2 linked regions of the Oryzias latipes genome follow. The protein of the gene in region 1 interacts with the protein of each later gene in a biochemical or structural test. Links are inferred from orthologs where the notes say so. Each region holds a gene or a part of one and is shown in the gene's direction. Other genes may lie near its edges.

The links.
Region 2: the proteins of ubiquitin-conjugating enzyme E2 D2 (region 1) and rchy1 form a complex in vitro, tested with the Homo sapiens proteins (9 studies listed by BioGRID and IntAct, with this or other methods). The link is inferred for Oryzias latipes from reciprocal best matches to the Homo sapiens genes UBE2D2 and RCHY1.

The regions. Positions count from the first base shown.
Region 1 is NC_019880.2:25,334,564-25,340,451, forward strand, and holds the start of ubiquitin-conjugating enzyme E2 D2, read left to right. Parts: upstream 1-2,603; 5' UTR 2,604-2,993; coding exon 2,994-3,017; intron 3,018-3,747; coding exon 3,748-3,811; intron 3,812-3,955; coding exon 3,956-3,987; intron 3,988-4,115; coding exon 4,116-4,193; intron 4,194-4,409; coding exon 4,410-4,515; intron 4,516-4,624; coding exon 4,625-4,718; intron 4,719-4,805; coding exon 4,806-4,854; 3' UTR 4,855-4,855; intron 4,856-5,740; coding exon of another isoform or gene 5,741-5,786; 3' UTR 5,787-5,888. Other genes in the region: RING finger protein 145-like, read left to right, coding at 1-324.
Region 2 is NC_019867.2:25,251,858-25,257,556, forward strand, and holds the start of rchy1 (RING finger and CHY zinc finger domain-containing protein 1), read left to right. Parts: upstream 1-2,377; 5' UTR 2,378-2,471; coding exon 2,472-2,522; intron 2,523-2,939; coding exon 2,940-3,059; intron 3,060-3,159; coding exon 3,160-3,275; intron 3,276-4,652; coding exon 4,653-4,731; intron 4,732-4,824; coding exon 4,825-4,869; intron 4,870-4,966; coding exon 4,967-5,025; intron 5,026-5,699. Other genes in the region: nucleolysin TIA-1, read right to left, coding at 401-426. UniProt on the Homo sapiens protein: E3 ubiquitin-protein ligase that mediates ubiquitination of target proteins, including p53/TP53, TP73, HDAC1 and CDKN1B. Mediates ubiquitination and degradation of p53/TP53; preferentially acts on tetrameric p53/TP53.

The DNA.
Region 1 (5,888 bases):
CAATCAGTCGGAGACTTTTGTGGGTTTGCTGAGCCAATTCCTTCATCCTCCCATGATCCTCCAGGTCACACCTCTCTTCCTGACGTGCTCACTCAGGGTGGGGTGACCAGAACAGACTTTCCTCCCACTCCTCCATCTGAAGCTGGGGACCGAGCCCTGGAGCGATGTGACACCCAACCGTCTGGCCTTAGAAACAGTCATGCTATCCCCTCCAGGTGTGAGGGGGCGCCCGGTTCATGCTGCAGCTCAGATCCAGCACAGGAGGACCCTACCACCATAAATCAGCTGGACCTCCCCTCTGGAGTGCACTCTGACGTCAGATAGTCGGAGAATCTCCAGTCAGCAGAACCCACAGAGGCTGCAGCAGAAGCCCTGTATCAGTGCCTGCAGGGGTGCGAAACGGCGACTCTCCACAGGAGGGCGGGGTTCAAACCTAGTTTTATCAGAAGTGTCAGTGAATGTTCTTCACTCCAGACAAAACTGCTGTGGGTCGGAACCTTGAGCTGGTTTCGCAGCTGTAAATAAAGAATAAAATCCTGAAACATGAAGCAGAATTTGCTGTTTTCAGAAGACGTATACTTGAAATTGACTTTTTAAACTCACCTTTTCTTCATATTTGATGCTGAGGAGCTGTCTGGATCTACAGTATAACGTTTGGGGGTTTGGAGCCTCCGTCACACCATTAATGTGACATTTTTCTGTTTGTTTGACAATTTTCTTATGATGCAGTAGAAATTGTATTTAGCAATGTTCTTAAAATGCAGTGAAAACTGATAAAACCCGATGTTTACGTCATTTTTTATCATCTGGTGTGCCTCCTGGCTTGTTAACTAGTTGAACAGAGCTGCAGGTGGAAACCAACAGAACCTTAAACATCATTTCAGAAACATCCTGTGTGGTTTTACAGACCTTCTCAGCTGTGTTTGGCACCAGAAACAACCCAGAAGTTAAAAGGTAGGTGAAATTAAAGTCTTTTCTTTCTGTTGTGGGCCTTTATTTTTGTTTTACTTGAGTCTCCAGCTGGGCTTCTGCCTAAATGTCTGGAGAGAAGCTTGATGAAGTTTAGTTTGACGTTCAGTCCAACAACAAACAGTTGAGGACAGAAATACTGGCTACGGTTTCCTGGAACTGCCAGTTCCTGTTTGTCTCTGCGTCACCACCGGCTGCGAGAAACACAAACATTCAAATTTCAAGCAAATTCATTTGGGACATGCTGGAGATGTTTCCAGATGGGTGTCTGGTCTCAAAGACTGTTTGATAGGAGCTTTTATGCTCTCCATGCTGGGTTCTATAAAGACGGTTGGAGATCATTGCCATTTATTTGCTTTTTTATACAAACAACATATTTTAAAGCAACGTCATTTTACATAGAGTGTTTGGTAATTAATTTGACGTGCCACACAGCATACCTACTATTCATGTTTTTCCACAAGTTTATTTTTTTAACCTATTAAAACATAACACACAGTGGCTGCAGGTGAATTTTTCTAGCAGAAATTGAAAGATATACGACCAAGATATTAGAGAAAGAGTAAAGATAAAATTATCTAGGTCTGCATCTGAACACATCAACATTTTTTGTATTTTTCAGCACAGATCTGAAGGAATTGAATGACTGATTTCCCACATATGCTCCTCCTCTACTCAGCTTTCCAGGTTTATTGAATCACATTTCAATTTCTGAAACATCCATGGTGAAAAAAAGTTGAACATGACAATCAGGATGGAAAAAATCTAGAAGACGAAAGAGGTAAAGCCATAAAAAACAACCATAGAAAAGATCTGAATTTGTAGTGTCACAGAAGAAAATTATAGCCAAATAGGTGACTCTTTTGTAATTGGATGCTCATATTTAGAAGAGAATGATGTGTAAACTGATCAGAAATGGACAGTAAAGAATGACATTTTCTACTCTGCATGTTTCAAAGTTCAAATGTTTCTACCCAACTAATCTGGAAATATGTTGCTAAAGCAAAAGAGGTGACAGTTTTCACGCTCAAGAATATTTTCAGAGTAAACTCTGGAATGTCATTCCTGACATGGAGTTTAGCTGAAAAAGTAAGAATTCATCTTCCAAGTGTATTTAGGACTTCTAGGAAAATTTACAAGTGGAACTAATATAAAAAAAGCAAGACCTGAAGAAGTAATGAGAACTTATGCAGGTGAGCATTTGTCTGGGACAAACGGATGAAAAGTCACAAAATGAAACAACACACTGAAGCACACAATCCTCATTACAATAAGGAAGGACGTAACCATTTTGACTCCGCCCCTTTATTTTAAAATTTGATGTTCTGATTATAGTGTCATCCAGTTAAAATAATGGAATTAATTTATTAATAATCAGTTTTATTTAACAGCTGCTTTTAGAAACTACATAGTTAACAATAAATCACTAAAAATATAAATTTTAAACTCTATATTTCTGTACACAAAGGTGAGAAAAGTCTTGTGTAAAAAACTGCAGGGATGAACAGGAAGTTATAAAATTGTTGACAATAATTTCTCATTCTGCTTTCTCATTCACGCTCATGGCGAACTGACCACGCCCTCACAGCAGGATGACGGCGCATTCCCACTGACTGACTCCGCCCTCACAGGATTCTGGCTCCGCCCTCACGGCATAAAGCTTCATCTGTATGTGGACAGCGGCTAGTTAGCTAACAGCATCGACCGAAACCTGAAGAGGGGCAATTATATCAGGCCGGGGTTATCCACCTGGCGTTCGCAATTAGTCAATTCCCGAGGGGACACGGATATTTCAGAACCGAACCAAAAGAAAGGAGTTCCTGAGGAACGTAGCCAGTTTTCGTGAAGTCTTGGCCGCATACGTAGTTTTAACCTGCTATCATATCAGCTAGCTTAAGCAGACAGGCCGTGGAGCTGAGCCAGCGTGAATTATCTAATCGAAGCGGTCATCCTGGAACATCACAGCCCGCCTTTGTGCTCACTTTCTGTATCAACAATACGAAAACCCCAAACACGGAGGGAGGATGGCCCTTAAAAGGATCCACAAGGTAAGAGAACGGCGGAACTGCGTGCTAACGGTGTTAGCTTTCCATGCTAGCCTCCCTAACTATTCTCCGTCAAGGCTAACGAGGAAGTGTCGCTTCGAGGTTCAGGTGTGGAGCTCTGCTCGGCTTGATGGCGGTTATAGTTTTCAGTCCAGATACTTGTGTGTCAGAAATGTGTTACAACCGGCTGACGCGCAGCTCGCCAGCCAGCCAGCTATCATTAAATCATTAGCAGTTTCGATTTTCGACCTAACCTCTCTGTTGGGGCTGACGTCTGTCAGGGCCGACCGGTCTCGGTCGTTGTTTTTGCGTTCGGTTCTCCGTGATTCACACCTGACCAAGCCGGCCAGGGCCCACGTCACGATTAGCCTCGTCGCGCGTGTGCGCGCCCGGCTGAGTTAACTCCGGCCCGGATGGGAACCGGGCAGCCCCGGAAACCGGCAGGCCGCCCGCAACTTGCCGGTGTCTGGAAGCCTCTATGAGGAAAGGCCGGGGTGGGGCCCGGCTCATCCGCTCCAAAATAGACGGTCACCTAAAAATAAACATTATATGGACGGGCTGTATGTTTGCTGTGGATATAAAAACTGGGCTGTGCGGGCCCGTCCGGGGGAGGGGGTATGGGGGTAACCTTAACCAGGGAGGACGTTGTTCCTCACATACTCGGTGTTTGGAGATGTTGACGTTCGTCAGACTCTAGTATCTTCATGACTGACTGAAGCTCCTCTCCTGACAGGAACTGAATGACCTGGCTCGTGACCCCCCAGCTCAGTGCTCTGCTGGCCCGGTGGGAGATGACAGTAAGTGATCCGAACACACTGATGTAAATCTGAAAACCACATATGTTAGTGGATGCCGTGAACAGGAAACAGCGTTCCTGGCAGGCTGTGACAGTCACAGTGACCTGTAAGCTTCTTTATAATGCTTCATTTTTGTCCTTGCAGTGTTTCACTGGCAGGCTACCATCATGGGACCTGTGAGTACATTTTGACCTTCCCGTCATGTTATGGTGGTGGGGGGGGGGGTCTCACTTTCTTCATATAACGGCAAATGTTTATGCTTGGATCTGTCAGTCCTTAACTCGGTTTAAACTTCTCCTTGCAGAGTGACAGTCCATATCAGGGAGGTGTTTTCTTCCTGACAATTCATTTTCCAACAGACTACCCCTTCAAACCCCCAAAGGTGAGCTGCTATGACGGGTGTCTTCTGTGCGTTTCCATAGTAATGAGTTAAGACAGGATGTGGTGCTGCCTTTTGATTTAGACAAAGCGTTTGATTTCGGAACAAAGTGAAACTGTAATTCTTTTTTTTTCCTGTTTACATCATCTGCCGGTCCAGCCTGTTCTGTCGCAGGATCTGCGTTGCATAACTCAGATTTTTGTTGCGTCTCTCCCTCAGGTGGCATTCACAACAAGAATTTACCACCCAAATATTAACAGTAATGGCAGTATCTGTCTGGATATTCTCAGATCACAGTGGTCTCCTGCACTTACTATTTCTAAAGGTAGGAAGCTGTAGTTTGACGTTTAATAATTAACTAATGTCTTTTAATGTTGTGGAAGAAGTTTGCCTTCCGATGTCAAACTGAGTTTCCGTAAACTTTTCTCTTGTAGTTCTTCTCTCCATTTGCTCACTCCTATGTGACCCAAACCCCGATGACCCATTAGTGCCAGAGATTGCACGGATCTACAAAACAGATGGTCAGAAGTGAGTAAAAGCCGTCCTTTTGCATGTGACAAGACCCTGATCCCACCTTTTTTGGTTGATCCATGTGCGTGGATTTCACTTTGTTAGGTACAATAAACTAGCTCAGGAGTGGACGGCAAAGTATGCCATGCTGTAGGGTAAGCCTAGTGCTGCATCTTGACTGGTATCTCTTTCTCACCTTGGCAAAGATCTAACTGTTGCACTAATCTGTGTGCACACAACCAGTGTACTCGGTCAGATTCAGTCTCCCTTTTGTACCCCAGCTTCAGATTTGATCTGATTTTCTTCAGACGTTCTGAATGTGACGAGTTTGACGGGAAATGAACTGTATGCATGACAGTGAAAAAGTGGTTCAATTTGACGTGTCCTGCTAAGTAGCTTTTGGGGTCAGGCACAAATGTGTCTGGTGTGGTTAAAGTCCCACTTTGATCATCTTTTGATCTATTTTCAAAGCATTCTCACTGGTCTTTTAAATATGACTATTGCTAATGCAGAGCAACCCCCCCCCCCCCCATTACTGAGAGCTCCCCGTTTACGTGTTCTCCCCCTAGCTTAAAGTCCCTCACAGCCCCAAGCTAACATTAGCAGTGCAACAAAAATGTTGAGCAATATTGAAGCTATCTAGTGGTACAGTTTTTAGCCAGATGCCAGCTCAGACGAGGAAACAGGTTTTTTTAATCCTGTCTTTATTCACAAGGTTTGAATAGCTTAATTTATGTAATGTCCTCCATCAGAAAACCTCCGATAGAACGTATTAAAAACACTATTTTCAGTGGAGTGGGTCTTAAAAGTTCAGCACATCCAGGTTGAAGGTCTGCTAGTAAACATGTCTACTAATCAAGGTATGAGTTTCCGCTTTTTGTATCTTGTGGCGCTGCCTGAATGCGAACCGCATTGCTTAAGGTTGTAGCTGCTGTTGTGGCTCCTCCCACTACGCCTTCTCACCCTACAAAGTTATGTAAAGAAGTTGGATTGAAAATGCAGCCCCCCCCCCTCTAAAATCTGTTTTTATCCCTCTACAGATACACCAAAATGGCAAAAGAATGGACACAAAAGTACGCAATGTGACGGCGTTCATCGGAAGCTGCTGAAACTGTTCGTTTAAGATTAAAGTTTGGGTTTTTCTTTTTCACTTTTTGTTTTTATTAATCACCACTTGACCCCCCCCCC
Region 2 (5,699 bases), on another chromosome or scaffold:
TGCTTTGTGAAACAAGACCCATTCGTCACAATGTAAATAACGAATACCACATTTAATTGCTATAGCGAGCATAATTGTTATTACAAAAAGATGAAGAAAATATGTGCAATGGTTTACATATTCAGCTAATGATAACCGGGGACTAGCTAGCTAAATATATTTCCATGCGAGTTACAGTTCCGCATTTTCAAATCTAAGTTTTTGTTAGTAGGACAAGAATATTTGTTCAATGTAATCACAATTACCTGGACTAACAGAAAAACTACCGACTGTTTTTTAAAGACATTATTACTCATTGTGTGGCAGAGTTTTAATTTAAATAATGTGGAAACGTCTGAGAAGCACGGTGAATAGACGAAGCCATTACATTCCTGGACATAGACACAGCCGCTTCACTCACAAGGTTCTAGGTTGATCGTCTTCCATCGTCAAGGTGTAGTGGTCGCGTCCGGAGAGGCTTTTAGTCCAATAACATACGAATAATTTATGTTAAACGTAAGTTAACCTAAACATAAAAAATAAATATGTACAATTTAATGATTAGTCTGTGGGCGATTTTGGTTCCACACACACCACAGAGAGCCTCAGTCTGAAGCAAACAATAGGAAGTTGAAGATGGCGGAGGAATGGCGTCAGAAGCGTCAACCTCGCTGCGCGCTAAAATGCTGCCAACATCAAGAACATTCTCTCACACCAGAAAAATGACCATAAGAATTGGTAGACTTCAACAAACCACATCTTTTTTGTGTAGACCGATAAATATTTAACTAATCGTTTAATTTAAATCAGAAAAACTGGAAATTTTAAGAGAATGTACTGCAACACAGTTATGGAGTTATTGCACCATTTTTTTTTCTTTTTTTTTTTTACGTTTTTCTACAGTTTGCGAAACGAACTAACTAAACCAACTAAACGAAAAGCAAGCCAAAATAAACAAAACGGCAGTGCGCCGCCCGGGAATCGAACCCGGGTCGCAAGAATGGGAATCTTGCATGATACCACTACACCAGCGGCGCTACGTGTGATTACCGGACGTACTGATAAAGATATACCTAGGCAAAAATGAGGTGGAAGAAAAGTCTTTGATGGGAAATATTGGAAACAAAAAATTACTTTTCTACTCGTGAACTCACAGGAATAATTGCTGACTTTTTCATACATATTCTAAGTATATGCTTCCCCATGTAGAATATATCAAACAACTTGGGTGTAAACGAGGTTTGTGGGATTTTCTAGAAGCAAAGTATTCTTGTTGTAATAAATATCAGGTTAGAATTTAATTTAAAACAAAAAATTGAGGTACAATTAAGGAGAAATCTAAAGGCGTGTTTGCTTTCACCTTCATTTTCCCCTTAACACTGACTTATTCATTTCAGTCTTTTGATAACATCATTGTTTCTGCTTTTACAGCAATATAAACATCAAAACATTGTTTTAATTAAATCTCTTGAACTACTGAAAATACTTTCTTGCCAGCCCTTTTGACACCACATCTTGGGACTTCAGTGGTTGTCTCTGCAAGTTCTGCAACCACTTGAGGGTTTCATCACTGATGCCCTAACTTTACAGAAATAAAGCAATAATATAGGGAGATTACCACATTGTACACATTTTCTTTTTTTAAAAAGTATGACTTAGAAAAAACTCTACCTAAATATTAATACATCTTTCATTGTAATAAAATTGAAAAAATTCTGTTTATTTAATTATCACAATGTTTAGTATAACTGTATCTCGTATAAGTTGCTTTTACCCAAGCAAATTTACAGTGCTTTTATTTTGGTAACATAAAATATATATAGGGAACAGTCAACATTGTCTGAGTTTTCCACAACAAAAAATTGTTCAGTACAAGAAAAAAAAATAGAATAAATGTCCCTTAACCAATACGGTTCTAAAAATATGTTTGAAGAAATAAAAGTCTGCTTATTTTCACATTTAAGAGGCCTTCTAAAAGTACACAAAAGATGCTGCACTAACAGCCAAAACAATGAAAAACGTCAGTCTTACAAACTCTTGATTAGTTTGCAGAACCATCAATACTTAAACCACTTCATTCTTTTTTATTCATCATTGCCAATTTCTGTTGTGTTTTAATAAATTTTACACACGATACAAAGACGTTTTAGTTGGACAGACTTTTTCTTTTTAGTTCTAGATCAAATTTAGTAGGAAAGCTTCTTTATTTCCCTTGAATATAAATAATACATTCAAGGGAAATATATTTTAAAATATAAATTATCTTGAGGAGGACATATACAGCATACAGTTATCTATTGACAGACGCTACGGTAATAAACTCACATCCCAGACCAGAAGGTGGCGGTAATGCGCCGTTCTGTTGTTTGCCACCCGCTGTATATATATTTAAAAAAAACTTTTAAAAAAACGTCCAACGAAGAAGAAGAAGCGAGCAACCTTCTCGCCTTCGTGGCAACGGACACTTCGAGAAGCTTGGGTTTGGAGACAGCATGGCTTCACCTGTCGGTTGTGAACATTACGTACGCGGTTGTTTGTTAAAAGTGAGTACCCGTTGTAGCCTCAGCGGAAGCAAAGCTGTATGCTAGCGTAAAATGAAACAAAGGACGGACAGGCCAGGGGGCTAACTCAACAACAACTGTAGTGGCAGACCCAGTCACCGTTTGTCCGGAGCGTTATGACAGTTTTGACAGATGGAGCTCATGTCCACTTTAAGATATTGGCAGGACGTCGAAGTTAATGGGTTCCATGTGTTTTGTTTAAAGGATATACACTTCATATTAAGTTTATGATTTTGCGACTACTGCTCTGCTGCTGCTTGTGTTCCTCAGCCGCACATTGCCACATCGTTATATAATTGTTAACCGACATTTCTTTAACGTTTCCTGAGATGCCTACCAGTTAAACCCCATCCAGATGTTGATGTTCCCCTAACGTTTGCGTGTTTTTGTGAACTCCAGGCGCCGTGCTGTGGGAAACTGTACGTGTGTCGTCTGTGCCATGATGCTCAGGAGAACCACCCGATGGATCGCTTCAAAGTCAGAGAGGTGCAGTGCTCCAAGTGTAACACCTTGCAGCAGGTAAGTTGCATAAATAAAATAAACCACCAGCTGTAGTTGATGACTTTTTATTTTTATGCACGTTACCCTAAATGTGTCCTGTTTGTGCATGCTTCTCTAGGCCCAAAAAACATGTCAGCAGTGTCAGTTACAGTTTGGGGAATATTACTGTGACATCTGCCATTTGTTTGACAAGGATAAGAAGCAGTACCACTGCCAGCCCTGTGGAATATGCAGGTAAATGTGTCATTAACGGCAAACACTCATCAACGGTTTACTAAATGGCGTATACTTATATGGCGCTTTTCTACCTTCTTCAGGGCCGTAGCGCTTTAGTCACAATCCCATTCACCCATGCACACATTCATTCACACACTGGTGGTCTCAGGAGAAAGTTAGGATTTTGTCTAATAATTAGAGGTGTAGCGACTGATCGACTTAATCAGTGAATCAATTTATATTCCTAATATCCAACAAGATCGATCTGTCTGAGGCAACAAATCGACTTAAACCACTATGAAACTGTTGAAAAATGAAACATACCCATAATATCTATTGAAAAAAATCTCTGTCTTTCTCTGTATCTGAAGATATTTGCATGCTTTGGATTTATCGATCGATGTTGTTCTGGCTGTTTTCAGAAACACTTTATTTTTAAAAATCTATACTTGATCCTAATTCTTTTGCTGTATGTTAAAAAGCTCAAGTACAATGGGATTGTCTGGTAAAAGAAAAGTTGTGCATTTCTAATGAAGAAACAAACAGGAAATCTAAACAGTTGCAGGGGAAACGTGAGTTATCGGTATCGGCTGGAAAAAATTATAACCGCCCATCCCTAGAAGAGACACCACAGAAGAGGCTGATTGACAAAACCAACAAGTCACAGTGAAAAAGAATCAATAAAACAGCGAGACAGCGAAATATAGCGAAGGAACACCACCGGTAGTGATAATATTCTCCTAAAGTTTGGTACATCAGAGGAGGAACGATGCAGGCAGCGCCATGAACAGGCAAAGCCCACGCCATGTAAAATTAGGGTCAGCAGCGAAAAGTCTGGATTGAAAATTTTAACTGAGGTCTAAAAGCAAAGAGGGGAAGAACCAAAAAAAAAAACAGACGTTGAAAAGAAAAAAAGGCTGCTGTTAGAAATAAACATAATTTTCAGGTTTAAAGTTGTTTTTTAAAAGTCAAATTTACTTTTTTGACAAATTTTCAATAATTCTTTCAACTTTGTTTTGGTCAAAGTCATAATTTCTTTGTTTGTTTTTTTTCAAATTTTTAATAATTCCTTGAAGTATACAAAATGTACTTTCAAGTCTTAATACAGTTTTCAAGTTTTCCTTCTCTTCAAATTTACAAAATGGGTTTTCATTCAGTTTATGCTGTTCCCAATTTCCCTCCATAAAAAATGTCCTGGATGGAGTTTTAGGTCAGTGAATCAGTTCGTTCAAAATGAAACGATATCACCTATGAATCATATCAGCAACCACAAATTCTGATATGAATCAAATTGTTAAAATTAATCTTTAAACCCCTAATAATAGTTCATTTTTTCTTTTTTATCCAGTTACCCACTAACAGATGAGTAAACTATGTGTGTTCTGGTATTGGCAGGATTGGACCCAGTGAGAAGTACTTCCATTGTGACAAGTGCAATTTGTGTCTGGCCCAGGATCTGAGAGGAAACCACAGAGTGATTATGATTATTCACCTCCTTCTGATTCACTCTAATGGAAGAAGTTCTCACTTTGTTTTACTGACTTTGGTTTTTTTTGATTACTTTCAGTGTGTCGAAAATGTCTCTAGGCAGAACTGTCCGGTTTGTATGGAGGTATGAAACCTTAAAGTACATGTAAAACTAATATTGGATTTTCGTCTTTATTTGAGCCCAACTGTTTTTTTTTTGTTTGTTTTCTCTTTGTCAAAAGGATATTCACACGTCCAGGATCGGTGCTCATGTCCTTCCATGTGGCCATCTTTTACACAAGTGAGGCGACTTTTCTTTTCTGTTGGCTTAGGTTTATGTGTGTTAACTGCAAATAACAGTTTACAGACGAGCTGCAATGATTTCAAGCTATTTTATAAATACTTTAAACAGATTTCCTTTTAGAAGCACACAAATTAACACCACCAATGAGTTGAAGTGTCTAAAAAACTTGTCAACTCTTTTGAAAAGTAATAAATCCAGAAAATATAAATTTATTTTTTATCGAAAATGTGCTTTTTACTTTGAGATGACTGTAAACAGCAAAAAAACTTTGCTGTATTTGTGCTACTGACATATATTAGAAACTTTTTTTTTGCATTTTAAATGTGTTTATCACTTGACGAATGTGAGTAGTAAACAGATGTAAGAAAAAGTACCCGAAGCTTTTGGATATTATGGGTTTGTGCAAGAATCAGACAGACGGTTTGTTCTTGTCTTCACCTCCAACAATAGAAACAGAACAGTCTCTCTAAACTAAACACAGACAGGTGCTTTTATTGAACAAAAAAATATATATTCACAATAGTCTGTGAGAAAAGTATGTGAACCCATAATTACTTCTCCAAGAACTAATCAGACCAGGAGATGGGAAACCTGGAGTCCACTCAATGGGATGAGGTTAGATTTGGTTAAGGTCATGGCTCCCAAAAGAGGTTTAAAAGCATTTGCTTAAC